7 linked regions of the Sus scrofa genome follow. The protein of the gene in region 7 interacts with the protein of the main gene of each other region in a pairwise test. Links are inferred from orthologs where the notes say so. Each region holds a gene or a part of one and is shown on either strand. Other genes may lie near its edges.

The links.
Region 1: the proteins of THAP1 (region 7) and FAM133A interact in binary tests that used the Homo sapiens proteins (3 or more experiments, as listed by UniProt). The two-hybrid records come from large-scale screens. The link is inferred for Sus scrofa from reciprocal best matches to the Homo sapiens genes THAP1 and FAM133A.
Region 2: the proteins of THAP1 (region 7) and C2H1orf35 interact in binary tests that used the Homo sapiens proteins (3 or more experiments, as listed by UniProt). The two-hybrid records come from large-scale screens. The link is inferred for Sus scrofa from reciprocal best matches to the Homo sapiens genes THAP1 and C1orf35.
Region 3: the proteins of THAP1 (region 7) and RBM10 interact in binary tests that used the Homo sapiens proteins (3 or more experiments, as listed by UniProt). The two-hybrid records come from large-scale screens. The link is inferred for Sus scrofa from reciprocal best matches to the Homo sapiens genes THAP1 and RBM10.
Region 4: the proteins of THAP1 (region 7) and BAG5 interact in binary tests that used the Homo sapiens proteins (3 or more experiments, as listed by UniProt). The two-hybrid records come from large-scale screens. The link is inferred for Sus scrofa from reciprocal best matches to the Homo sapiens genes THAP1 and BAG5.
Region 5: the proteins of THAP1 (region 7) and MRPL11 interact in binary tests that used the Homo sapiens proteins (3 or more experiments, as listed by UniProt). The two-hybrid records come from large-scale screens. The link is inferred for Sus scrofa from reciprocal best matches to the Homo sapiens genes THAP1 and MRPL11.
Region 6: the proteins of THAP1 (region 7) and TCEA2 interact in binary tests that used the Homo sapiens proteins (3 or more experiments, as listed by UniProt). The two-hybrid records come from large-scale screens. The link is inferred for Sus scrofa from reciprocal best matches to the Homo sapiens genes THAP1 and TCEA2.

What each region holds. Positions count from the first base shown.
Region 1 is NC_010461.5:76,148,349-76,152,151, forward strand, and holds the start of FAM133A (protein FAM133A), read left to right. Parts: upstream 1-1,500; intron 1,501-1,584; exon of another isoform or gene 1,585-1,608; intron 1,609-1,614; exon of another isoform or gene 1,615-1,705; intron 1,706-1,725; exon of another isoform or gene 1,726-1,856; intron 1,857-1,890; exon of another isoform or gene 1,891-2,083; intron 2,084-2,490; 5' UTR 2,491-2,560; intron 2,561-3,803. Other genes in the region: NAP1L3 (nucleosome assembly protein 1-like 3), read right to left, coding at 1-1,145.
Region 2 is NC_010444.4:51,238,526-51,242,532, reverse strand, and holds C2H1orf35 (multiple myeloma tumor-associated protein 2), read left to right. Parts: upstream 1-1,207; 5' UTR 1,208-1,258; coding exon 1,259-1,352; intron 1,353-1,458; coding exon 1,459-1,609; intron 1,610-1,751; coding exon 1,752-1,797; intron 1,798-1,892; coding exon 1,893-1,972; intron 1,973-2,187; coding exon 2,188-2,260; intron 2,261-2,361; coding exon of another isoform or gene 2,362-2,426; coding exon 2,427-2,512; intron 2,513-3,105; coding exon 3,106-3,231; intron 3,232-3,316; coding exon 3,317-3,374; downstream 3,375-4,007.
Region 3 is NC_010461.5:41,790,898-41,794,397, forward strand, and holds part of RBM10 (RNA-binding protein 10), read left to right. Parts: intron 1-1,246; coding exon 1,247-1,316; intron 1,317-3,112; coding exon 3,113-3,186; intron 3,187-3,500. UniProt on the Homo sapiens protein: Binds to ssRNA containing the consensus sequence 5'-AGGUAA-3'. May be involved in post-transcriptional processing, most probably in mRNA splicing. Binds to RNA homopolymers, with a preference for poly(G) and poly(U) and little for poly(A).
Region 4 is NW_018084979.1:2,104,974-2,107,336, forward strand, and holds part of BAG5 (BAG family molecular chaperone regulator 5), read right to left. Parts: coding exon 2,001-2,363; 3' UTR 1-2,000. UniProt on the Homo sapiens protein: Co-chaperone for HSP/HSP70 proteins. It functions as a nucleotide-exchange factor promoting the release of ADP from HSP70, thereby activating HSP70-mediated protein refolding.
Region 5 is NC_010444.4:5,977,129-5,981,290, forward strand, and holds the start of MRPL11 (39S ribosomal protein L11, mitochondrial), read left to right. Parts: upstream 1-1,362; 5' UTR 1,363-1,596; coding exon 1,597-1,719; intron 1,720-2,084; coding exon 2,085-2,180; coding exon of another isoform or gene 2,181-2,466; intron 2,467-2,630; coding exon 2,631-2,724; exon of another isoform or gene 2,725-2,725; intron 2,726-2,809; coding exon 2,810-2,969; intron 2,970-4,086; coding exon 4,087-4,162.
Region 6 is NC_010459.5:62,880,166-62,884,138, reverse strand, and holds the start of TCEA2 (transcription elongation factor A protein 2), read right to left. Parts: upstream 2,801-3,973; 5' UTR 2,672-2,800; coding exon 2,600-2,671; intron 1-2,599. UniProt on the Homo sapiens protein: Necessary for efficient RNA polymerase II transcription elongation past template-encoded arresting sites.
Region 7 is NC_010459.5:11,770,522-11,774,593, forward strand, and holds the start of THAP1 (THAP domain-containing protein 1), read right to left. Parts: upstream 2,801-4,072; 5' UTR 1,870-2,800; coding exon 1,799-1,869; intron 1-1,798. UniProt on the Homo sapiens protein: DNA-binding transcription regulator that regulates endothelial cell proliferation and G1/S cell-cycle progression.

The sequences.
Region 1 (3,803 bases), on a different chromosome or scaffold from region 7:
CTCCAATCTATCTTACAGCCTTTGCAATCTTGGATTTCCCAGCCCCAGGAGAAGAAGGGATCATTGTGATCTGGCTTTGACTTTATTATATATGTCTTGGTCAGCACCTCATTTCTGAAGTATGGATTGGGTAGGAAGCAAAACTCAAATGTGTAACTTATAGGCCGGCCAGGTTTTGAGAACTTCAGGCTAACATCTGACAGGAACTTCAGAATGGGCTCATCATACTTCTGAATCATGGGTCCCAGCTTGTCAACATTCTTTAAGACAGTCAGCCAATAGTCGGGAATGCCTTTAGGATCTTCTCTTTTAGGCTTTCCTTTGCGAGCTCTTTTCAGAGCCCTTTCTTTAGGCCTGACCTCAGGAATTCTTTTAGGAGCTTCTTTTACAGCAACCCTGGCCTTAGTCGCCTCTGTTGCTTTAGGCTGCTCTCTGTCTTCTGCCTTTGCTTGGGGGGCTTCTTTTGGATCTTCCTTTACTTCAGGCTTGGCCTCCAGAGCATCTTTAGACTCTGCTCTTTCTTCAGCCTTTGCCTCGGGATTTTCTTTAGGGGCTGCATTTTCTTCAGCCTTGACCTCAGGTTTTGGTTTTGGGTCCTCTTCTTCCTCACCCTCTAAGGCAGGCATTTCACTAGGGCCCTCTTCCTGCACTTCCTCATCACTGCTAAACACCTCATCCTCCGAATTCCATTCACATTCTTCCTCCGTGGGCTCATATTCTGCATTGATGATTTGGAATCGCCGATCATACAGAGGCCTATTGAGTTCGGCATATTTTCTTTCGAGCTCGTGAATTGCCTTTAAGAACAGGGCGTCTACCTTGTCACATTCATCTTGAATATTTCTGAGCGCCTGCACACGATTTCTAACTGCCCGAGGCAGCTGATCCACGAAACTTCTACCCGACGGAGCCCGCCGCGCCCTTCTGGAAGGCCCAGGTACCCTCTTCTTTCTATAGAAACGGCTGCGGCTATTGCTGCTGCTGCTGCTACTGCTGCTGCTGCAACTAGTGCTGCTGCTAGAGCTGCTGCTGCTGCTGCTGCTGTCAGATTCTTCCCCAGAATCGCTAGACGAGCTAGCCACCATCTCTTCATCCACCCCCTGGGCCGCAGCTCCCGAGACCCTGTTAGGATCCGCTTCTGCCATTCTGCAAGCCTGCAAACCGCTTAGCGTGGTGACTACCGCGCGCACAGAGATGGGCCGAAAATGACTCACGGATGCTTGGGTGGCAGCGGTGGAGGTCGGGGCAGCGGCGAAGGCAGCAGGAGTGCAGGGCGGGGTGGGGCTGGGCTGAAGCCGCGGAGGCGGCAGCGACACTGGAGGCCTGAGCAAGAGCGGCAGAGGTAAGGGCTCTCCCGGCTGCAGCTGCTGCGGACCGAGGCGTGCCTCAGCCGAATGGCGCAGTGCGAGACCCCGAGATCTCTTCACTACTAAGATATTGAACCCCCCCCTCCCCTAGCCGTCAGACCTCCCGTTAATTTCGTTCCCAGTGTGCCCTTTAGCTCTCACCTCATTTGCTAGGCATGCTTGATCGACAAACCCTCAGGCCAATGAGTAGCCAAAAGCACCGCCCCCTCCAGACTCCGCCCACCTTCCCAGACGCTCCTAGGTAGCTAAGGCTCATACCCCAGGAAGACGTTTTTCCCCCTCAAAATTTTATCCTTATAGTTTTATAATTCAAAAAAAAAAAAAAGCTTAGCTATGAGGTAAAAATACTAGTCATGGTTTCTAACAAGGGAAGAGGAGTATCCTTCTCCCATCTGCCCTTCATTAATTCCCGTTTGGTTTGTCAGGGGCCTCGTGACAAAAATCTGTTTTTTAAAAATTGGATGAAAATACTCCAAATGACATCTTTGGGTAGTGTGCTTGTGGATGATTTTTTAATTCTCTTTCTTCTATCTAGATGTTCTATGAGCATGTATTTTTACACTGGGGGGAAAAGAGGGAGTCGTTTATTGGCAAAGCGGGGAGGGGCTAGAAAGCAGGCATATTGCCTTCCACGTAACAGTTTTAATAAGTGCTGTCTGTGGTGTTTGGCAAGCCTGGTTTATATCCATCTACAAGGTTTGCGAACCCATGTTGCCGTGAGTCAGTTACACCATTTTTTACTATATTTCTCCTTTTAATTTGGCGTGTAATAAACCCCAACCTTGCTGCTGATTTGCCACGTAGTCCTTCTCAATGCTTGTAACAACCTTGTAGATAAAATAAGAGGGCATTCAAATGTTAGGTAGTATTTTTTAAAAGCAGACGCTTTGTTCTATACTTTCATGCAGCACTTTTCCATTCCAGGAATAGCAGGATGGGAGGGGGAGTCTGTGCTGATGAAACTGCATCCTCTGTCAGGGTATACTTTACAATGTCATCTGCCACCAGTTTCCTTCTAAAATTGTAAAATGCTAGCCATACTAAAGTATGATTTACAAATCCAGTAATATGTGAATAAACTTGCAAAATGAAGTTTAAAAACAGCTGTTATTTTTATTTGCAGGATTCTTTTCTGCCACAGAACAACTCCCTTGGTACAACCAAAAAGACCCGTGTTTACTTTTCATTAAAAGGTAAGGAACATATTTAGCCCATTTTTATGAATGACAAGAATTACCTATATATATTTGAATAAAAATTCACGACAGAGTCTTTTAAAGACTTAATTGGAAGATAGTTCTATGTAAGCAGAAAAATCCACAGAGGTGATTTAGAATATTAATGAGGAAAATAACCTAATTAATGACATTCACTTTCTAAACCTGCTCATAGAAAGCAAGTAGCAAATTAAAACATAACATCTGATGAATTATTCATTTCAAATGAGGAAAAATATTAAAGTAAGATTAATCTTTATGTTGCTTCTTTATTATAGGATTTGTGCTTAGTCATTTAGTCATGTATTTATAAATTAAGAAACACTTTTATTTTCTATTTTGTAAATGAATTTAGTTTTATTGTTTATTCCTGATTGTCAAAGTATGTAAGCATTGTAAGGGAAAATACAATATAGAAAATTAAAATAATAATAGAAATACACAATTTTAATCAAATGATAACTATTGTTAGCATTTTGATGCATTTCCTTCTGGAATTTTCTTTGTACATGTACATGCCTGCCTATTTATATATACTGTTTCATCTTGTGAACTTATGTTTTGTAACCTGTGCATTTATCAGTTAATTGTGGCTATACTTTCATAGAAACCGATCAATATTTTATTTTAAAATAGATGCATATTTCATGGAAATATTTGCCTTAATTTACTTAACCAGATTCCTCTTGTAGGGCAGTTACTCCCTGCACCATCTTTCCACTAACGTACATTTTCCTGTTGTTAAAAAAGTTAACCCTGGATACCTGCTATATGAACTTGTAAAAACTAGTCATCTGATGAATTCCTAGAAATGGAAGTGCTAGAATGAGTTGTATTCTCATTTTACTCTTTGACACATATTGCCAAGCTTCTCTCCAGAAAAAATGATCACAATTTAAAATCCCAACAATAATGCATGAGTTTATTTAGCCATTCAACTAATATATTTTTGTGCCTGCCACGTGCCAGGCACGTGTGGTAGAGGATAATGATATAATGCTGAATAAAACTTAATGGGTGCATATCCTCTCATTCTATAATTTTCATTAAAATATATACTATGGAAGGTATGATTTAAATCAATGAAATTATGCTATAAATATTGTTCTACAAATTATTATTTTTTTAAATGATGGACATATTTTGTTAATGCTTTATATTTTTATAGTACTTTAATGATTTCATATATATGTTAAATTTTATACTATCAAGAATCAGC
Region 2 (4,007 bases), on a different chromosome or scaffold from region 7:
TCTGGGCCTGACCCAGTAGGTAGGAGCCAACAGCCTGTGGGAGATGAACCTCCCCCACTCCTGACCCCTTCTGGTCCACTCACCATTCTGTGCGGCTGCACAGGGACATCCTCCCACCCCAATCCATCCCAGCAATGTGTGGCTATGCACTTCCAGGCCCTGCTGACCTCCTCATCTTTGCTCAAGAACGCCCTTAAGCAGTGAGGCAGGTGAGGGAGAGCAAGGTGAAAGACCTCACCCCCCCCCCCCATTATCAGATGAACTCACTGAGCAACCTGCAGGAGGGCCATGTCTTGTGAGAGGACCAGTACTGAAGGGATACAGATAACATGTGTGGCACCGTGTAAATTCCTCAGTACATTCATCTTATGGTTTCAGTTCAGTAGGAGTTGGCCAATGGAGTGGCACTCCTCTCTGCTCATTAGGACCTCTTATGACTGAATCTATTCTGGTCTGCAGTGATGACAAACCGAACACCCTTGCCCAACAACTAGCTTACTATAGATACTGAGCAGCAAAGACCAAAACTGTTGAATGAGGATCGTCTGCCAGTGAACACCTTGAGGGTGACTGAGGCATTTTCTGTGCTCTTTGAGGTATGAGTGCAATGAGGTGTGCTTCCATACTTTTTTGGGAGCCACACAGCTGGTATCCCCAAGGGTGGAGAACAGGCCAGTGCAGGTGCAACCTGACCTTGGTGGCTCCCGGTTTATAAGGTAGGGAAGCTATAGTAGGGAAACAGTTTCAGACATAGTCTCCCCCAGTGCCTACCCCTCTCCCCAGCACAGGGCCAGAAACAGCACACACTAGCAACGATGACTCGGGGGTGTCACCCACACAACGTGACTCGAATTTATTTTTTAGGGCCGGACCCACAGCATACGGAAGTTCCCAGGCTAGGCGTCTAGCAGGAGCTGCAGCTGCCGGGTCTATGCCACAGCCACAGCCTCACCCACACCAGATCCGAGCCGGTTCTGCGAGCAGCTCATGGCCACACCGGATCCTTAACCCACAGATCCGGTCCAAGGATCAAACCCATGGCCTCATGGATACTAGTCCCTTTCATTACCTGTGACCCACGACAGTGGCTTCCAATAATGCGGCGGTATCTGCCGCAGCCTCCGACTTTGGCCAGGGCCACAGCAGTGCGCAGGCGTTAGAGGCAGGCGGGGGCGGTGCAAGCGCGCATGACGTCACTGCGTGCGACGCGGGGTGGAAACGGGGGCCGGTGGGGCCTGGGTAGCGGGAAGCCGGCACCATGTTCGGCTCCAGCCGGGGTGGAGTGCGCGGTGGGCAGGATCAGTTTAGCTGGGAGGATGTGAAGACTGACAAACAGAGGGAGAACTACCTGGGTGAGCGGGGTGCCGGGACCCAGGGTGGCGGCGGGGGTGTCTCTCGGGCTGGAGGTACGCCAACCTGCAGCGCCGTACCGAGGACTCGGCGCTCGGTATCCCGCAGGCAACTCGCTGATGGCCCCGGTGGGCCGCTGGCAGAAGGGCCGTGACCTCACCTGGTACGCCAAGGGCCGGGCGCACGGCGCGGGGTTGAGCCGGGAACAGGAGCTGGAGGCCGTGAGGCAGGCGGAGCAGGAAGCGCTTATGGCAGCGTTGTGAGTGAGCCTCGGGAGCTTGGGGGCGGGGGGGAATTACCTCCTGGTTGGGGGTAGGGCGGAGACCGGGGCTGGGCGGGGGCGGGGGCGCGGGCCGAGGAGAGGCCCGCCACTCTCTGAAGCTCACGCGCGGCCCCCGCAGAGGCTACAAGAACGTAAGGAAGCAGCCCACGGGCCTGAGCAAGGAGGTGAGAGGTGGGCCCTCTTGGAGGACGGGGGCGGGATGGGGCGGGGGGGCAGACCCCACGCTGTGGTGAGCGCTTGCACTCCCCCCCACCCACAGGACTTTGTCGAAGTCTGTAAGCGGGAAGGAAGTGACCCCGAGAAGGGAGTGGACCGGCTCCTGGGCCTGGGCAGCTCCAGGTGCGGGGCTGGGGAGGTGGTCCTCGGGGACCCCAGAAATCGCGAGGGTGCAATTCCCCGGGGTTCGGCGCTGTCAGCCGCCCAGGTGGAAGCCGTTATGGGTCGTCTGAACTCATCACTTCTCTAGGGAGGCCTACGGGTGGGGATGGGGTGGTCCTCGCTGTCGGGAGAGGGTGTCTCACTGTGGGGGGGGGTCCCCACCCGCGTCCCCGCAGTGGCTCTGCAGGGCGAGTGGCGCTGTCACGGGAAGACAAAGAGGCCGCTAAACTGGGGCTTTCGGTGTTCACGGTAATTCCTCCCGACATCCTGGTTATCCCATGTTGGGGTGGGGGTGGGGATGAGTGTCCCTTCCTGTTGAAAGCCGTGGGGCAAATCGTCTCCCCTCGAAGGGACCCTACTGGCTTTCTGGATGGTTCTCAGGCCCGCACACCCCCAGAGTGGCTTTTCTTGGCAGCACCACCGCGTGGAGAGCAGTCGGCCAGGGGTCTCCCTGGCTTCGGCCAAGAGGAAGCCTCGGTCAGAGGAGAAGGTGGAGCCAGGGTAAGGGCTGGATAAGTGGACCCTACCCGTGCTACTAGGACACAGAACTCGGTTCGCTCTGCATGTTGTTTGCTCCACCAGACAGTAAAATTCCTAGCTCCAGCCTTTTTTTGGGGGGGAGCCGCTGGAGGTTGTGAGCCCTGGGGCGGTTCCACTTGCCCCCTGACTCCTCAGTGGGATCAGGGGCCCAAGAGAATGTTCAGACATGAGTCACTTTCCGGGGTCTGGGGCGGGTGGGGTGGTGAACCACTTCCCCTTCCCGTTGCTTTAGCTGCCCAGCGAGGGGTGTGAGTGGCACAGGAGGGGATCACAATTTGGCCCCAAGAGTGCAGGGTGGAGTGGGAGTGGGGAAAATCGCAGTGGGAGGGTTGGAAAGGGGCCATGAGATCGTCAGATTTTCTGCCACGATTGGAATGCAAGTAAGGGTCTGTGCCCCCGACCGTGGTAGTTGCTGGCTACAGGTGGTACTGAGGAGTTGCCCTTAGTGACTTCAGGTTGAAATGGCTACACATGGTTAGTGGCTACTGCAGCAGCCCCATCCCTGGCTAGATTCCAAAGCCCCAGAGGCACTGGCACTTTGTGTCCCCTTGCAGCCCTGAGAGCCACAGGAAGAGCAAGAAAGAGAAGAAAAAGAAGAAAAAACACAAGAAAGAGAAGAGAAAGAAAGAAAAGGAGCATGGGAGGGGGTCACATTCCTCACTGTCCCCTTCTTCCATCCAGTAGGTGCAGCTGCCTGGGGGTAAAGAGGCGGGGAGTACTGGGCAGGCAGGGGCCCTCAAGCCAGGTGTCCCCCGGTCTCCCTAGGCATGATCCCAACTCCTCGCCTTGTTGCAAGAGGAAGCGCCGGCAGGACAGCAACTGAGATCCAGAGATCTGAAGGGCTAGCCTATGGGGATCACCCCAGGCCTCGAAAGAGGCTTAACTGTGGCCTACTACGGCTGCTTTTATTTTTCTTTGTATTGACTCACTCTTTGTACGTAAATAAACTTATTTTAAGTGGAAAGTGTTTCATACTAAAGGGAAGGTTGCTATCATATGTCATAATAGAAAGTGATGTGTGGGAGTTCCCGTCGTGGCGCAGTGGTTAACAAATCCAACTAGGAACCATGAGGTTGCGGGTTCGGTCCCTGCCCTTGCTCAGTGGGTTAACGATCTGGCGTTGCCGTGAGCTGTGGTGTAGGTTGCAGATGCGGTTTGGATCCCGCGTTGCTGTGGCTCTGGCTTAGGCCAGTGGCTACAACTCCGGATTCGACCCCTAGCCTGGGAACCTCCATATGCTGCAGGAGCGGCCCAAAGAGATAGCAAAAAAAAAAAAAGACAAAAAAAAAAAAAAAAAAGTGATGTGTGAAGATGTGATCTCTTGGGTTCTAGCAAGGCTACCTGTGATCCCACTGGGAAGGGCACTGTCCTTTTGGTGGTCAGCATCTCGGAGTCTCATATTGACCAAGAGCCCTGGGTCATGTGTGGCCAGAAGGAGGCCACACGGGTCAAAGGG
Region 3 (3,500 bases), on a different chromosome or scaffold from region 7:
GGCGTCTAGAACAGCCTCCTCACTGGTCGGCTAGTCGGGAGTTTCTCCTCCTCCTCCCCACCACCGGGAGTTCGCTGCTCAGCTCTCCTCTGAAACCCGCTGGCTGCCTATGTTGTCGCAGAGAAAAGCCCACCTGTGTGTGTGAGAGCTTTTCAAGTCTGGCCCACCTGCCCTGTTCAGGGTCAGATGGTAACTGAGTGCTGACATTTCTCTGAGACTGTATCACGCAGTGGGCCATGTGTCAGGTCTGATTGAATCCTCACAGCCACCCTGCAGGGAAGGTACTCTTTGTATTTTCATCCTACGGATGAGGAAGCCGGTCACCCAGTAGTGAAGCAACTTGCCCCAGGTCCCGCGGCCAGTGAGTGGCCACGCGGAGTTGGAGTCTGAACCTGGACCGCTGAACCCCGGAGCCCACATTCTTGCTGTTCCCAAGCCCTTAGCGTTAGCAGTCCTGATCTGCTCCTCTGTGTCTTTCTTTTTTCAGCCTCGTGTGTGTACGTTTACTCTCCCTTCTGTTGTTTAACCTGATGAGGCCCAGAGGCGTTAAGGCTGCTGCCCGAGAATGCCCAGCACAGGCTCCCCATCTTCTGAGAGGGTGCTACTGCCCTAGGGACCCTGCCCCACCTGGCCCAGGTCCCAAATGGCCTCTGCAGCTTCCCTCTGGCTTAGGTCATCTGGGAAGCTTTCTGAACCCCACGGCCATGCCTTTTGGTCTCCACCCCAAGTTACTGCTCCATTCATGGTCTAGGGCACATGGCTGGGGTTTGCTCAGACCCCAGGCCTTCCCAGTTTGGTGCTCGTGTCGTGGGTCTCTTGATTCAAGCTGGAGGGCAGTCCCTTTGTGAAGGGCCAGAATTGCATCCCAGCTTTCCTCGCCTTGTGGCTGCACCAAGCCTGTGGTCAGACCACCCCTGCCCACCGTTCTTGAGCTGCTGGCTCGCTTGCTCTCTTGCCGTTCTCCGCCCCTGAGGGTTGTTACGCTGCCATGCTTCCTCACCTTGCACCACGCCCCTTTCTTCATTTGACTCACTCTGCAAGACTGGGCTGAAAGCTAAGACTGGGTCCTGGTTTGGGGCTGGGGCTGGGGCTGGGGTCCCTCGGGGCCAAAGCCCTGAGAGAGGGAGAGAAGACGGTGTGTGCGCATTGCCAGTGACCCCTTGAGGCCCCAGAGGCCCCCAGGCGGCCTCAGGTACCCAGCAGCCCCTTGCACTGAGCCTGCCCCAATCCGTGTCTCCCCGTACAGATCCGTGGCCAACTGCAGTCCCACGGCGTCCAAGCACGGGAGGTGCGGCTGATGCGGAACAAATCCTCAGGTGAGCTTTCGTTCCAGTACCCTCCCCTTCCGCTGGCCAGCCTCAGCCTCCGAGTCTCCCTCCTGCCTCTGCCTTCTCCCCCACCCTCCTTACCCTGCCTTCCTGCCACAGCTGGGAATGGGCAGCTTGGGGGGTACCCTCTCTTCTTCTCTCCCCCTCGTCCCACTCTCCTCCCAGCTCCAGCCAGCAGCCTCTTGTGTGGGGCTGTTGCGGAAGGGGCGTGGCTCGGAGCCGGGCCGGGTGCTCCCCGGGGGCGGGGCCAGGGCCAGGCCCCCCGGGAACCTCATCTTTGGGACTCCGAGTATCTGAAATGGTAGCCCCGTCCCCACCGGTCGACGCCTTTCTTCTCCTGCCCCTGCCCCTTGCTCTTCCCCACATTTTTCTGGTAACAGCCTCTGACCAGAAAGTAGGTCTGACATGGCCCCACCCGTGTGTCCCAAGAGGGGAGGCAGGGGATGGCTCTTGTCCAGGGGCGCATCCCAAGGAGCAGCCAGGATTGCTGGCCTCGCTTGTTCCCTCCCTCCCTCTTGCAGGCTGCTCGGACCCGGCCTGAGGTTAGCGGGGGCGGGGGGGTTGTCTCTGCAGGACCTCTGGCCCAGGCTCCCCGAGGCAGGCACAGTGGGGCCTCGCTCTGCCTGGGCTTCTCTCTCCATCTCTCAGTCTCTCTCCTCCCCACACCTCCATGTCTTATCTCTCTATCTCCTCCCCTCTGATTATACTGTTCCATCCTCCCGTGCATCCTAACGGTTATTCTTTTGGAGATCAAGCATGCCCCTCGAGTCCCGCCGTGTCTAAGCCCTCCCTGTGTGTGTCCCTCCAAAGAAGGAGCTGCTTTCCTGCGGCCTCAAGCCCTGGATCCTTTTCCCAACCCTGGCCAGGCCTGGAGTCTCTCTCGGTGGCATGTAGGTCTTGCTCTGCTGCACCCCAGCCAAGCTGACAGGATTCTGGTCTCTCTCGTCCTGAAGTGGTGTCCCAGGCGCAGCCCCCTCTGCGGCCCTGGATGCTTCTCCCAGGTGCCCACTGGCTCTTTACGGTCTACCTGGTTGATCCTGGCCCCCGTTCTCCTGCCGTCTAGGAGGACCTGGACCGTAGGTGGCTGTAATCTTCCCAGCTTGGCCCCGAGGCGGCTGCCCAGTGAGGCCCGCCTCCCCTGCACCATGGTGAGGCTGAGGCAACGGGGTGTCCCTAGCCCCGTCTGGTTCCTGATGGGCCCGGAGCCTTCCCAGCTTCACTGAGCAGCCTGACCTGGCTTCTCGTTTGCTCCTTTGATGAAACACCTGAGACAGGCCCCCCACCCCGGGCTGTGCCGGCCTCGTGCTGGGCCCCACCACTTGCTTGTTTATTCTGGCCTGTGTGGAGCCAGCAGCCGGCCCCTCTGCCCTCCTGCCTTCTCTGGAGACAGACCTCTCCTTGGACCCTTTCCATCCCAGCTCCTTCTCTCTGTCTCTGTCACCCCAGGCTGTCCAGGCAGGTGTGCCTGAGCCCTGGCTCTCTCTCTTCCCAGCTGGCGTGTGTGTACCCCCTCCCCCACCGCCCCCCAACCTTCCTCGACTGTCTTCCTCCCTCCCTTCCTCGCTTCCCTCCTTCCCACCCCTCCCAGCCATCTACCTTGCCTCCCACCCCCTGGTCTTTCTCTCTCTGCTTTTCTCTCTCTCTCTCCCCCTTTCTTCCTTTTTCCTTTCCCCACTTCCCTCTCTGCCCCCCAGTCCTCTCCCCTCGGGTCCCACCCCCGGGAACACCGTGTGTCCAAAGCTGTTGACTAACCCACTGCGTCTGTATCTGAATGCTGTCTCCAGGTCAGAGCCGGGGCTTCGCCTTCGTCGAGTTTAGTCACTTGCAGGACGCTACACGATGGATGGAAGCCAATCAGGTTGCTTTGCCGCACTTGAACCCCCCCCCAAACAAATACTACTTTGTAATCGAGCGCTCCCCATCGCCTGATTCTTACGGACACAGTTCCCTGCCCTGTGGCCCTGTGTCCCGTCCCCCACCCCCTCTCTCTCCCCCTTCCTGACCCTCACTGTCTCCTCTTCCCACCTCTCGCTGCCCACTGGGCCTCCCACCAAGAGCCCACACTCACCAGTGGCCCCTCCTGTTGGCCAGGCACTAGCTCTGCCTCTCCTCCTCTCCCGGCTGAGCTTCGAGAGAAAGGGCTGCCGTAGGGGGAGGGAGGGTCTTTCACTT
Region 4 (2,363 bases), on a different chromosome or scaffold from region 7:
TGCAACGAGCCCAGTTTAAAAATTACATGCCCCCAGGAACACAGGCCTCCCAACCAGGGACAGTGTCCCTTGGGCTCATTAAGGGACTAGAATGACCAGGTACAAAGCCCTAGGGGACGTCGTGCCTCAGCAGTCACTCAGGTTCATCGGTTGATTTCAGTGACCAGAGTCATTCCCAGATGACCCGTGTCCCCCGTGTCCCCTCGCACACGCTCCGGCGGCCCGGGCCCCACGGGCTGCAGAGCTCACACTGGAAGATGAGTGAGAGGGGAGGCCCTGCTTCAGGAGCAGTGACGCCTGGAAAGGAAGCTGGCACTCCACCTTCAAGTCTGAGGTTCACGCGACGTCTAGGCCTGGCGTCTGAAGCGAGTCAGAGCACAGCCTCCATTTCCCAGGGATCCGACTGTGCCAGCGCTGGAGCTGAAAGCCCTTCCGGATTTTAAGGGCACCTCACACTTACGAAACAGGATCACAACCCTCACACGACTTCCTAGGAGGAAGGGCTCAAGGGCTTGTAACTCTTGGGCAGCACTGAGACGCAGTGAATGGTTTTAGGGCTACGCTTGTCCATCTTTTAGGTATTCGGGGCCATTCCTTTATCTTATTCTTAGCTATTTACAAAGTCATCAAACTACCCCTGAAAAAACAGCACATTACTGTAGCGGTCCCAGGATGTCCTCTGAGGTGCTGCTTTTGTGAGAGGCGACTGCAGAGGGGTCGCAGGTCCGATTCGGGGACAGCATGTCAGCAAGGCGCCTCAGAGCTGCGGGCAATTCCGCTGTTCACCTTAACAGGCAACCTCAAAACTGGATCCTCAAAAGGTACGAACAGAAGCACGTACACCCTTCAGCAGAGGAAAAGCAATCTCACGCAGACAGACAGACAGACTGTGCTGGCCCCGCCCGGCGCCCGAGAAGCTCCCGCCTGCCGGCGAGGGAAGGAGCTCAGCTTAGCCCCCCTGCACCTGCACCCGCACCCGCACCCGGTCCCTCGGGGCTGCTGACACGTCTGCTTGCGGGGCACCGGGGATGTTGATGGAGTCTGTCTGGCACGCGGCCTTGAACAACAAGCCCACTGCAAGCTGCACGCAGACACAGCTGCTCCTCTGGGCATAACCTAATCACTGCTGACTAATCTCCAGTCTTCCTTATCCTACTATGGCTTTGGGCATTTCCTTTTTTTTTTAAAGGTCCATTAACTTTACTTAAATGTTTCCATCCTTCCTCATTTCTAAGGGAGACTGTAAATTCGGATGTTACAACCGGAAACAGCTTGAAGGTAGGAGCTGGTGTCTTATCCCTTCTTCAATGCAGCCTCAAAGGTTTTTTGCTAGTAATTCCATAATTTATGTTACGCACAACAATAAGACTCCCCTCTCTATACTCAGAGAATGGGGGAAATACAGACACTGTATTTCAACAAAATGTTTCTGAAAGAACAGACTATCTGGAAAAACAGATACAAAAAACAGAAATTCCTACCCTACTAAATGGGGTGGGACCAATCAGATTTTACAAATGAAAAAAAAATCCTGCTTTATTCAGCAAAATACAACATCTCATTGTACTGCTTTTGCGCTGTGGACCTTCCATTTAAACAAAGCTTCCCCCCTTTCTCATAATTGTCCTGGTATTTATCACGTTAAGGTTCTATGTTTATTTCTAGCTCCTGAAGTATCCGCATTTTAATGCTCGAACAGCCCGTTACATTTTCTTTAAAAGCTGCCCCATTCCATTTTGATTTAAAAAATAAAACCAAAAAACCACACCACGACGTACAGGTAACAGTCCAAATGGAAAAGTTAATACGCTATAATATTTGTTCTGCAACATCGAGAGCAGCAGAGATACCGCATATAATTTGCTTAAATCATAAATACTGAGATTGCCGTACGCATGTGCAAAAGTCACATGTAGCCTCGACGCACCAAACGCCCTCCACGAACACACAGAGGTCTCTGTGAAGTGCACAGCGAGAAACACCACCGTGGCCCCGGCGTTTCAGTACTCCCACTCGTCAGACTTCTGGTCCAGATAGCTGAGAATGTTCTGGGCCAGCTTCACCGCCTGCTTCCGGGCAGCCTTGCACTTCTCCTCCCCCTGGGGGTCGACGGCGTCCAGCGCCAGCAGCTGCTTGGTGAGCAGCTCCTCCAGCCGGATGTAGTTCTTATCGGTTCGGTTGCCGTCGAAGGCGAGCACCTCCTCCTGGATCTCTGACAAGTGCCCCAGGATGGTCCAGACGGCCGCGAGCGAGGGGTGCTCCGCGCTGGCCAGGGCCCGTCTCTTCTCCAGGGCCTCCCTCAGGTCCACGTAGGTGATGAGAGTCTGCACCTCAACCACCGCCCGTCTCCTGGCTTCCCGGAT
Region 5 (4,162 bases), on a different chromosome or scaffold from region 7:
AAATCATAAGAACCTGGCTTATTTTACTGGACACAGATGATGTATCAAATACATTCGGGGCCTCATAAGCCTCCCAGCAGCTCCGGGAAGGTTTTGTCCTTATTGTACAGTGATAGCAAACGTTGACTAGGTGACAGATACTATCCTAAAGCACTTTGCTAACTTAACGCTCACAACTAGCCCCAGGGTATAGGGGGCCACATGTTATAATTCCCATTTTGTTTATTTAAAAAAAATTTTTTAAATTAAAGTATGGCTCAGTGGTAATGAACCTGACTAGTATCTGTGAGGATGCAAGGTCCATCCTTGGCCTCCCTCAGTTGGTTAAGGTTCCAATGTTGCCGTGAGCTGTGGCGTAGGTCACAGACCGGCTAAGTCGACTCCTAGCTTGGGAACTTCCATATACCGAGGGTGCAGCCCTAAAAAGACACACACACACACACACACACACACACACACACACACACACACACAAAAGTATAGTTGATTCACAATGTTCCTTCAATTTCTTTTTCTTTTTTTTTTTTAGAGGGCTGCACCCACAGCATATGGAGGTTCCCAGGCTAGGGGTCAAATTGGAGCTGTAGCCACCAGCCTACACCACAGCCACAGCGACACGGGATATGAGCCACGTCTTCAACCTACACCATGGCTCATGGCAACGCCAGATCCTTAGCCCACAGAGAAAGCCAGGGATTGAACCCGCATCCTCATGGATCCTAGTCGGGTTCGTTAACTACTGAGCCATGAAAGGAACTCCTGTTCCTTCAATTTCTGATATACATAAAATGACCCAGTCCTACATATATAAACATTCTTTTTTTTTTTTTAATTCTATTTTCCACCATGTTCTAACCTAAGAGACTGGACACAGTTCCCTGTGCTGTAAAGCAGTATCCCATCATTATCTGTTCTAAACAGCTTGCATCCACCAACCCAACCCCCCCCCCCCCCCCCCCCCCCCCCCCCCGGCAATCACAAGTCCACTCTCTATAATTCCCATTTTACAGAGGAGGAAACTGAGCATAAATAACTTGGTCAAGTTCACAGCCAAGCAAGAGAAGCAAGCAGGCAATTTGCTTCCAAGTCCATACTCTTAATATTTCTTTTCAACAGCAGGTGAAGACACGGGCTCATAAAATGAAGAAATTCCCTCGCCTGAAAAAGGAGCTCTAGGTTATTTTCAAACCCAGAGATTATCTCCGTGTCCAGCAGATGGCGCTCCAGGACACGCCACTCTGTGGGGTTTTCCTAAGAGGGCAAAACTACCATACCCATAAGACAGGGCGGCGGCTGAGGGCCTCTTTTCGCTTAGGTGTCTGAAGCAGTGCCTGTGTGCTCTCCAGGAGGAACGTGCGTATCCGAGCCATTCGGGTCCTTCCTCAATTTAAGATGGCACGTTAAAGGTTTTTCCCGCTTCATCTCATTCCCTTTGTCATTAGTGGGAGAGCGGAAGGACGGAATCAACGCTACTTGTTGGCTTCATTTGTCCTATCCTAGTGTGAGGACCCTTGACCTTTAACCCAAGCTGGCGGCGCCCGGAGCCTTCGCTCTTGCCGTGGACCTGCGATGAATTAAGGCCAGGAACTCCGCACCATGTCGAAGCTCAGCCGGGCCACTCGGGCCCTCAAGAAGCCCGAGGCCAGCGGCATGATCCGGGCCATCGTGCGGGCAGGCCAGGCCAGGCCCGGACCCCCACTCGGCCCCATCCTGGGTCAGGTGCAGCCGCGGCGGGAACCTGGAGTGGGAGGCCAGGGTCGGGTGGCCGCTAGTACGCGCGTGGAGGGTGCGGGCTGGAGCCAGGGCGGCCTCGGTTTAGAACATGGATCTGCTTGTCCACACGCAGTATGGCTTTGGGTTGGTCACAGAGCTTCTTCAGTCCTTCCTCGACGAGCTGTTGTGAGCCTAGACAGACGTGGAAGCATACAGATCACCTGGCACAGAAAATGCTCGTTGAATCTGGGTAGAGAAAAAAGGATGGGAACTTAGAGAAGTGAAGACGGAGGAGAGAACGGACAGAGAGCCTCCTGGGTGGTAGGAAGCTTCCCTGCGCCCCCACGCTAACCCCTGTGCCTCCGTCACAGCGAGGCGTTTCCATCAACCAGTTCTGTAAGGAGTTCAACGAAAAGACAAAGGACATCAAAGAAGGCATTCCTCTGCCCACCAAGATTTTTGTGAAGGTGCGGAGTTGGGACGCTGACCCCCAGTTTCCTTCTCATTCTCCCTCTTCTCCCCAGGTCCTGAAGCTGGTCGCTTGGGGTTGCTACTCTGCTTCTAACTTGGGGCACGTGTCATCCTGTTCCTGGGCCCCACTGTCCCCATTTACACGGTGGAGACTAGTCCGTATCTTTCCGGAGCCCCCCATCTACTGCCATATTGCAGATCTTAACTTTGCCCCTCCAGCTTGCTGGGGCTTCCAGAGCAGAGTTGGGTCTGGAAGAGAGGTGACAGGGATGTTTATGGCAGGTGAATTTTTCTGTGGTTTTGTGGTCAGTTAAATGGGCATCATAGGAAGGTGATTTGGGGAAAAGGAGGGACAGGAAGTTAAAAGTTCCCCAGGCAGAGGCAGCAGGGGTGGGGTGGGGGGGGAGAGAGAAAGAAGTAGTCTCATATTTCTTTTGTCTGTGAAGCCCGACAGGACATTTGAAATCAAAATTGGTCAACCCACTGTTTCCTACTTCCTGAAGGCTGCTGCCGGGATTGAGAAGGGGGCGCGGCACACAGGTAAGGGGCAGGGTGGGCATGGGGATTCTGCAGGCTCTGGAAGGAAGCAGTGACCTCTGAAGAACAGCTTGTTCTTTCCTCCCAGGAAAAGAGGTGGCAGGCCTGGTGACACTGAAGCACGTGTACGAGATCGCCCGCGTCAAAGCTCAGGATGACGCCTTCGCCCTGCAGGACGTGCCGCTGTCCTCTGTTGTTCGCTCCATCATTGGCTCTGCCCGTTCCCTGGGCATTCGTGTGGTGAAAGAGTGAGTGTCCAGGGGAGGGTCTGGAAAGTTCTTGACCCTGGGACAAAGATGAGGACCCACTGAGTGGGAGAGTCAGCTCCTGACTTAAGAGAGCTTAGATTCTTGGGAGTGCAGGGCCTCATTCACTGGAATGTATTTATTAAATATTCGTCAGATATTGTCCTGGACATTGGGTGCAGCTGGGAAGGAGGTAGCCATGCTGGGTCTGGCTTCTAAGGAGCTCACAGCCCAGAGATGGAGGCGAATTCATAAAAGGAGAATTATATTGTTGGATGGTCGGTGTGGCTAAAAGGAACTACAGGTGTCTTGAGTACAGGGATTAGGGTTCCTGATTTTGCCTGGTGTGTCAGTGAAAGCTTTGCAGAGTCCTTGACATCTAAGTAGAGCCCTGGGAAGCGAGGTCAAGGAGTGGGGGCAAGCATTCCAAGAAGTGGAAAAAATGTAAGGTGGAAGAGAGAGACGCAAAGAAGTTCGGTGTGACCCGGGTGTGTGCTACTAGAGGCGGAGTGGGAAATAGTATGAAGAGGGGATGCAGACAGGGACCAGTGTGTTCTTGAATTCAGACTTGACCCCAAGGCCAGGAGGGGTCCCCTCATGGGGCTTCCGATGACCTCAGGAATTGTTTTTTTTGAAGTGAGGTGTCAGGTGGGAGAGCATCCGGCGTGGACAGCAGAGGCAGCACCCAGCCCTTCGCTGGCCTCTTGCTGCTGGTGTTTCCCAAGAGGAGTGGGGTTAAGCATGGGACAGGGATGGACTTGACTTTGCTCAGGTCTTCACTTGTACAGAGGTGAGTGCATGTGATCCCTGCTCTAAGAGAGACATACAGGCACCAGCTAACGACCTCTTTGTACAGAATCTTTGGGGCACAGAGGAAAAGTGGGTTAATTTGGCCTGGGATGTAGCCGAGGTCTCGGAGGTTGAGTAGGGCTTCAAGAAGGGAATAATAGGCAGAGGCGATGGGGGGGTGGCATTCCTGGCGGAGGAAACAGATGGGCAGAGCCCTGGAGGCTGGGGAGTCCAGCGGGGGAGGAGGGGTTCTGAGAAGGTGCCGTGGGCACCTGTGAGCCCCCCACCAGTGCCAGGCCCTCACGTAGCGTCTGTTTTTCTGTACCCGCAGCCTCAGCTCAGAAGAGCTGGCAGCTTTCCAGAAGGAGCGCGCCCTGTTCCTGGCTGCTCAGAGAGAGGCAGATTTG
Region 6 (3,973 bases), about 51 Mb from region 7:
CTACACGTGAGGATCAGGGGGACACAAGGCAGTGACAATCTGGACAGTCACCTGGAACCAAAGGCCCAGGGAAGACGGGCATGAGAAGGGAAGCGGCTCTGCCCCCCATCCAGCCCAAGGGCCAAGTGACTCCTGCTACCCACTCCCCAGGTGAAGGTGCAGCCCCAGGAGTGCTCACTCTCACTGGGTCCCAAGTCCCCTACCTGCGTGGCCTGGGCAGTCTCTCCCCAGAGTTGAACGACCAACCCAGGACTGCACACCCCCACCCCCTCCTCACTCCCTCCAGCCACCAGCCCTCACCCAGACTGCTGCTGCCTTGTCTCTCGTCTGCCTGGCACCCCCACTCCACATCTGCTTCCTCAGAGCGGCTCTGCAGCCACACACACACACACACACACACACACTCGCGGGTCACACTGTTCCACGGCAGGCACAGCTGCCAGGGCTCCCGGGGGTGGGATGCAACCTGGCTGCCCCAGGACCTCTGCACCTGCTGCTCTCACTGCCTGCAACACACCTGCACCGCCAGCCCTCCAGAGTTTTGTTCCAATGACACCTTGGGGGAGGGCTTGCCCACTGAAGACAGTGGGCAGTCCCGCACAGCCCACCCCTCCCCACTCGGCTTTCCCCCACCGAAGCCTACCTAACCCACAGACCATCACGCGTGCGTCTCTTTCACGACACGAAGGGAGGCAAAGACATCCGACCCGGCCACCCAAGGTGCGGAGAGCCTCAGATGTCCTGCAGCCTGGCCGTGGAAGGGGCTGAACTGGCCCCCTCCCTGCTCTGGATGGCATCTCTGCTCAGGCTACAACCCTCCCATCAGCCCCAGCAGGCCCCGTGCTAAGAACATCAGAGGAGACGAATGGTCGCCAGAGCCAAGGGCTCAGTGCCACTCAGCGCTCATCTCCCATGATGGAGCCTCAGGCGGCGGAACACCAGCTCCCTGTGGCCTCCAGACCTGAGAGGCATAAACGCAACTCCCAGTCATGACCCCCAACTCCCCCAAGGGGCCTCCAAGGCCCTGGGACCCACCGGGAGTCTCCACTGGCTCTCACTCCCCACGAAGTGGTGGCCCCAAACCCGCTTCCAGCCCACACCTGCTCCACCGCCTCACCCTCCCTGGACTTCCACTCCTGCAGCTCTTCCTCTGGATGCCCTCCCCAGTCCTGCTTGGCCCACCCACCCTCCTGGGCTGCGGGCCCATCTCAGTCCCCACCTGGGGGGCACTTGCTTTGTCTCCTTTGGGAGGGAGAAGCTTCTTTCTCTGGAAACAGCTGTAGATGTTCCCACACCCTGCTCTGTGCCACCCACAGTCTCCCAGGGGTGTGAGCGTCATGCCGGGATTGGGGGGTGCTGCCTGCCGGCTGACGGACGAATGAAAGCGTGGGAGCCAGCCCCAGCTGCAGCCCCAGGGTAGAACTCTGTCCGATGCAACCTTGCTTAGCCCAAAACGCCACCCTCTCAGGCCCACGGCAGAGCCTCTGCCCCGCCCCCGGAGCTCAGTCTGGGGAGAGACAGGCCATGTTTACTGAGCCTCTCGGGGAGCCAGCAGGACACCTCTCTAGCCCCTAGAGGCAGGTACCACCCACCCAAGATGATTCTTGTGAGGGTTCAGGTGGCCAAGGTCCAAGGGGAACTGGAGACCCATCCACCCGGCCCCTTTCAGAGGCCTCGGTGCAGCCTTCCCCAAAGACTCACTGGCCGAGGGACCACAGAGGCCCGGCCACACAGCCTGCACGGCTGGCCCAGGGTCCAGCGCCCAGGCACCCCCAGGACGGGCCAGGGGCCTCCCAGGGCTCTCTCCGGGGGTGTCTACACATCGACCCGTTCCCAAGAGCTGCGGGCGAAGGAAGGGAGAGAATTTATTAGGGAAGCCTAGTTCTTGGAAGACTGAACAGACAAGGAAGAAAATGGGCCTACGCCAGGCAAGGCCTCCAGCCGGCTACTAAAATGAGATAGAGGGCGGCGGCCCCAGACCGGGCAGAGGTAGGGGAGGCGCTTTTTCTCCAGAGGGAAAGGGGGTCCAAACGCATACTACAAACTCTTGAAGGCCAGGAAAGGGATGTGGAGACTCGGGGTGGGACAGAGAGCTCTGAGTCGGCGGTGGGGCTCTGGGGGAGCTGGGGGGGCGGGGGGGCAGCGAGGATGCGCAGGTAGGGGAGGAGGAAGGAGAGAGGGCGGGGCGGCCGGTAAGAAAGGGCTGAATCAGCCGGGGCTTCCGCTAGGCCTGGAGGGGCGGGGCCGAGGAAGGTCTCCGCCGGCCCAGCCTCCTGAGGGGGTCCGGAGTCAGGGGACCCCAGGCCTGCGGGGTCTCAGCCTGGCGGTTGGGGTCTGAGTCCAGAGCGGGCAGCTCCCGGGACAAGGTCCAGGCCGGATCGCGGCCTCTGCCGTGGGTGCGAGGTGAAGGGCAAGGCCAGCCCAGGGTGGGGGGTCTCGGCCCCCTGCGGGGGTCTCCCCGCGTCCCGGGAGTCTCTGCCTGGCCGGGGTCTTGTCCTGACCCTCGGGGGCTCGCCGCGGCCCTGGCGGGGGCTCGGCAGTCTCGGCGGGAGCTCGGCGAGGCGGGGGCCCTGGGGTCGTGGCGGCCCGCGCCCCTCACCGCGCTCTTCTTGGTCACCATCTTGTCCAGCCTCCGGGCGATCCGCGCAATCTCCTCCTCCTTGCCCATCATCGCCTCGGGGGCAGCGCCCCCAGCGCCCGCCGCGCCAGCCTCAGCCTTCCGGCCCAGACCCCAGCCCCGGCCGCCGCAACCTCCCGCACCCGCCGCAGCAGACGCAGCCCCGCCGTGGGCGGGAGACCCCCCGTTCAAACTCCCGGCCCCCGCGGCGCCGCGCTGCATCCTGGGACACGTAGTTCCCCCGCCCGCCAACCACGCGCGCGCTCTCCCCATCCCAGACCACAACTCCCAAGAAGCAGGCGGGCGCGCCTGGCATCTTAGGAAATGTAGTCCTGACGCGGGCCACGGCCCGAGGCCCGCGGGCCGGAGGACTCGCAGCCGCACAAGCTCCGGAGCGAACCGGTTAGCCGGCGGAGGGCGCTGCGGCGGTGTGGCCTCCGGCCGCGCGCGTGGGGGCCGTACCGCTCGCCGCCAGACTCTCCGCGCGGGGCCTCAAAGGCGCGCGGGGCCTCAAAGGCACGCCGGGGTCCGTCCCCTCTCTCCGCCTCCTCCACCTCCCGCTGTGCCTCGGCCGCCGCCTGAACGCTCTGTCCTGGACTGTGGCCGCGGGCCCGCGCGGGGCGCCTGGAGGTGGAGGGAGCAGTAGCCGGGTGCGGAGTCTGGAAGAGCCTAGGGGTGGGCTTAGGAAGGCACCCGGGGACTTGGAGAGGCTGCGTGGGCGGGGCCCCTCCCTCCGGAGTCAGCTTCCAGGTGCGAATCCCAGGCTCTCTGTCCCTCAGTCTCCCGGCCGGGAACGGGGGCGGTGGTAGTGCCTGCCTCACAGGGCCGCTGTTGGGATCAAGTAAGCTGATTCACGTCGTGCACCGAGAACAGGGCAAGGGACGGGAGCAATCAGATTGTCATCACCGTAGCTGCTGGAGGGCCCTGGGAAGGGCCAGACTGCACTCAGCTGGAGAGCGGAGGGATGGCCCTGCCCTGGGGAAGGCTGGGGAGAGGGGCAGGGCCAGTATCCCCATCCGAGGTCGGCCCCCTCCCCAGTGATGCATAGGCTGGGCGGTTTGCCGGAGGTGGCACAATTATGGGGCAGAGTAGAGGCTCAGGACTGTTATCTGTCTCCAGTGCTGTGGGCCCACAGTCACTGAAATTCAGGCCAGGAGTTCCCTTTGTGGCTCAGCAGTTAATGAACCTGACCAGGATCCCTGAAGATGTGAGTAAGATCCCTGACCTCGCTCAGTGGGTTAAGAATCCAGAGTTGCTGTGGCTGTGGTGTAGGCCAGCAGCTGTAGCTCTGATTTGACCCCTACCCTGGGAACTTCCATATGGCGCAGGTGTGGCCCTAAAAAGACCAAGAAAAGA
Region 7 (4,072 bases):
TTATTCCAAAAAAGGGCACATCCAGACTTTCCTGCTTTGGAAGGAACTAGCTTATACTGGTGTTAACACACCAATGAGTATTTGATGAAAATGCTAACTTTGCTCATTTTTGGGGGACAGTTTTTAGTTGTGCCTTTATTACCTTAGTTTGTTAAAAATGGACTTGTTTTGGAGTTCCTGCTGTGGTACAGTGGGTTATCGATCCAGCATTGCACAGCTGCGGTGTAGATCACAGCCACAGCTCGGATTCAATCCCTGGCCCAGAAACTTCCATATTCTCCCAGTACTGGTGCAGTGATTAAATTAAAAAATGTACTTGCTTTAAAATCCTATAACTAGAATTCCCGTTGTGGTGCAGCCGAAACAAATCTGACCAGGAACCATGAAGTGCGGGTTCGATCCCTGGCCTCGCTCAGTGGGTTAAGGATCTGGCGTTGCCATGAGCTGTGGTGTAGGTCACAGATGTGGCTTGAATCTGGCATTGCTGTGGCTGTGGCGTAGGCCAGCAGCTGCAGCTCCAATTCCACCCCTAGCCTGGGAACTTCCATGTGCAGCTGGAACAGTCCTTAAAAAGACGAAGGAAAAAAAAAAAAAATTGGAAGGTGGGTAGCTGAACAGCCTGCGATGGTGTCACCACCTCCAGACCTACTCCCTTGACTTTGAAAGTACTGGAGGCCAATCCATCAGCTTTCAGAAATTCTAATAAATCAAGAGTAATATTAAGATATCACCCCCTCAAATGAATCTGGAAGTGTTGTGTTTCTCCCCTTAGAAGGGAAACAGCAACACTCTCAAGATTTCTCTATGCTCCCTCAGCTCTCTAGTGTTACACCAAATGTACAAAAATGTATCCACATTCCCTGTTAAACATAAAAGGCCCCACCCTCCAAACTGAAGGAATACTTAAGATTTTGCTCTTGAAATTATTTCGCTATAAATCGTATAATTTATCACTGGCTTTTATTTCTTTAGCTATCATCCATTTACGGTTGAGATTATTGCAAAACACTTTTTATGTGATAACATCTGTAAATATAGAATTTGGCTGAATGAAAATGCCATCGTGCAGACATCGGATTATCATTGTCACTCTACTTTTCGGCTTTCTTTGGAGAGACCTGTTTCCTCCTAGGACCTCTAAGGTGAAACCGGCCCTAGAACTGGGAACGTGTCCCCCTCCGAGGGCTTCTTCCAGGTCCGTGACAGCCCGGCTGATTTTATCATGCACAGTGTACCACTACTGCCCGTTAACATAGTGTGCTCAGCCTGGAGCTCTCTCTAAAACTCAGCAGTCCTCAGGAGCAGAGTCCAAAACATCCTCCCTGAAATCCCGCCCACGTCAATGCCTAAATGCTGTGATGCTGGACTCCCCCCACCGCAGGGGATCAAAGTTCGTGACTTCCCGGCTGTTTCCTCTTCAACTTTACGGCTAAAGTGGCATTACTACCTGGCTTCTCTACGACCCTGGTGGTGAGACCCAGCTGCCTCTCGGTCTGGACACCCCACGACTCACGGGAATTCTAGGCTTCGTGGGTGGGCCGCGAACTAGCTACCCTGAGCTCCGCTAGAAACTGGAGCGCGAGGAACAGCCTCCGCGGCGACGCAACCGAGAACGCGCATCCCGGGGCGGAGCGCCGCGGGTGACGCCAGGGGCACGCCCACCGCTCCCCGTCCCAGCGCCAGACGGCGCCCCGCCCCTCCCACTAGGTCTCGCGCGGACACGCGCCTGGCCCCGCCCCCGAGCAGGGCCGCGCGCCCCCAGCCCCTGCGAGGCCCAGGAGGCGCTCAGGATACTTACTTGTGGAAAGAAACGGGCTTGTCCTTGTCATATCGGTTCTTGCAGCCGTAGGCGGAACAGGACTGCACCATCCTTCCGGTCCTGGTTACTTCACTTCTGCCGCCCCAGCAGGCAGTTGAGGCTGCTATCAATGTCGTCGCGCTCGACTTTGACACCCTCTCTTCTTCCGTAGCTTTGGTCAACAGTTACAATGACGAGAGGCTCACTCGGGAGCGACTAATGTGTCCGTTTTGTTGTTTGCATTAGCAGAAGGACCACAGCCATCGCCCGTCTCCCGTCTCCAAGATGGCGGAGACAGCTTCAACCTCACCTCTCGCGAGGCGTTAGTCCTACTGTCTCTTGATTAGCCCTGAGGTCAGAGGTAACGTTTCTTGGGAAGCAGGCCATTGGCTGAGTCCCGCCGCGCGGCGGACTGAGCGTTGCGGAAGTGGGCGGGGCCTCCGAGCTTCCGGAAGGAAGGAGTAATTACCTGGGAGAGGGGGGTGGGAGCGCAGGACCGATTCCGCCCCGGCGGTGCTGCTTGGGGTTACTTATGCTGGGCGGTTCAGATTCGCGGCACTCTACCGTCTATTGGGTCTGCTGGCCTGAAGCAGGACAGGTGTAAAGCTGAGGTCGTTGCATAATTGCCTTGTTTCTCTAAAAGGGCGGTCCCAGATGGCGTGATGTGTAAAACTTGGTGGACTCCCTTCCCGGCCCGCTAACCTCTCTTACCTGCTTCAGGTATTCTGAGGCTTTGCGGAGCCCAGGTGAAGAGTTTAGCCAGGAAAGCCCGCACCTGCACACACCGCGAGCCCAGTCTCTAGGGGCTTCTCTCACTAATGCTGCAGTTATCTTAATGATCTCCAGGTGCCGTGTTGGGACTCGCCAACAGCTGCAGCCCTTTTGGCCGGCTCCTTTCGTCTGTGTCGATAACGGGCTGTTGAGTAATCTCATGGCTCATAATTTCTTTTTTTTTAATTGGTGAGCAAGACTAGCATAGGCCCAGTCTTCGTAGCTTAAGTCCTAGTAAGGGGAAACAGACAATAAAAATGTAAATAAAATCACAGTGTGCTCAGGTGCCTGAATACATTAGAATGCCGAGATGAGGGTAGTAAGGAGAGGGTCACTGCCTACTCTCTGAGAAGGGAATGTTAAATCTGAGAACCAAACAACGGGTCGGGGGGAGAGGGTTTCTGCCACAAGAAGTGCGTGCTAAGGCCTGGAGGCAGTAAAAAGGTCTGTCTTCTAGGAACTGAATGGGGCCTGCAATGGCAGAGCCCAGTGAGTGGGTGGGGGCATACTGCAGCGTGAAGCCGCTGAGCCATTTTAGGCGGGGAGAGACATGATCTAATAAACGTTTTTAAAAGGCCATTCTGGGGAGTTCCCGTCGTGGCGCAGTGGTTAACGAATCCGACTAGGAACCATGAGGTTGCGGGTTCGATCCCTGCCCCCACTCAGTGGGTTAACGATCCGGCGTTGCCGTGAGCTGTGGTGTAGGTTGCAGACGCGGCTCGGATCCCGAGTTGCAGTGGCTCTGGCGTAGGCCGGTGGCTACAGCTCCGATTCGACCCCTAGCCTGGGAACCTCCATATGCGCGGGAGCGGCCCAAGAAATAGCAACAACAACAGCAAAAGACTAAAAAATAAAAAAATAAAAGGTCATTCTGGCTATTATGCCAAGAATTTATCAGGGAGGGGCAACAGTGAGTGAGCAGACCAATTAATAAGAGCAGACCAATTAAGAGGCTGTTGCAAGCAGACAGGAGATTGGCAACTTTGGACCAAGGAGTAGATGCCTATGCTAACAGGTAGAAACACCAGGGCTTGCTGGTAGTGGAAACAAGAATGAGGAAGACACAGAGTTCCCACTGTGGCGCAAGTGGAAACGAATCCGACTAGGAACCATGAGGTTGCAGGTTGGATCCCTGTCCTGCTCAGCAGGTTAAGGATCCGGAGTTGCGGTGACCTGTGGTGTAGTTCGCATACGCGGCTCGGAAATGGCGGTGCTGTACCTGTGGTGCAGGGCGGGCAAGCTCTAGCCCCGATTAGACCCCCTAGCCCGGGAACCTCCGCATGCCTCGAGTGTGGCCATTAGTGGCCCTAAAAAGACGAAAAAAAAAGGAATGAGGAAGGAGTTCCCCCTCCCTCCTGGCTCAGTGGTTAACAAACCCGACTAGTATCCGTGAGGACTCGGGTTTCAATGGGTTGAGACCCGGTTGCTGTGGTCTACCTCACGTGTTTCTCGGATCCCAATTGCTGTGGCCGTGGCTAGCAGCTACAGCTCCGATTAGTTCCC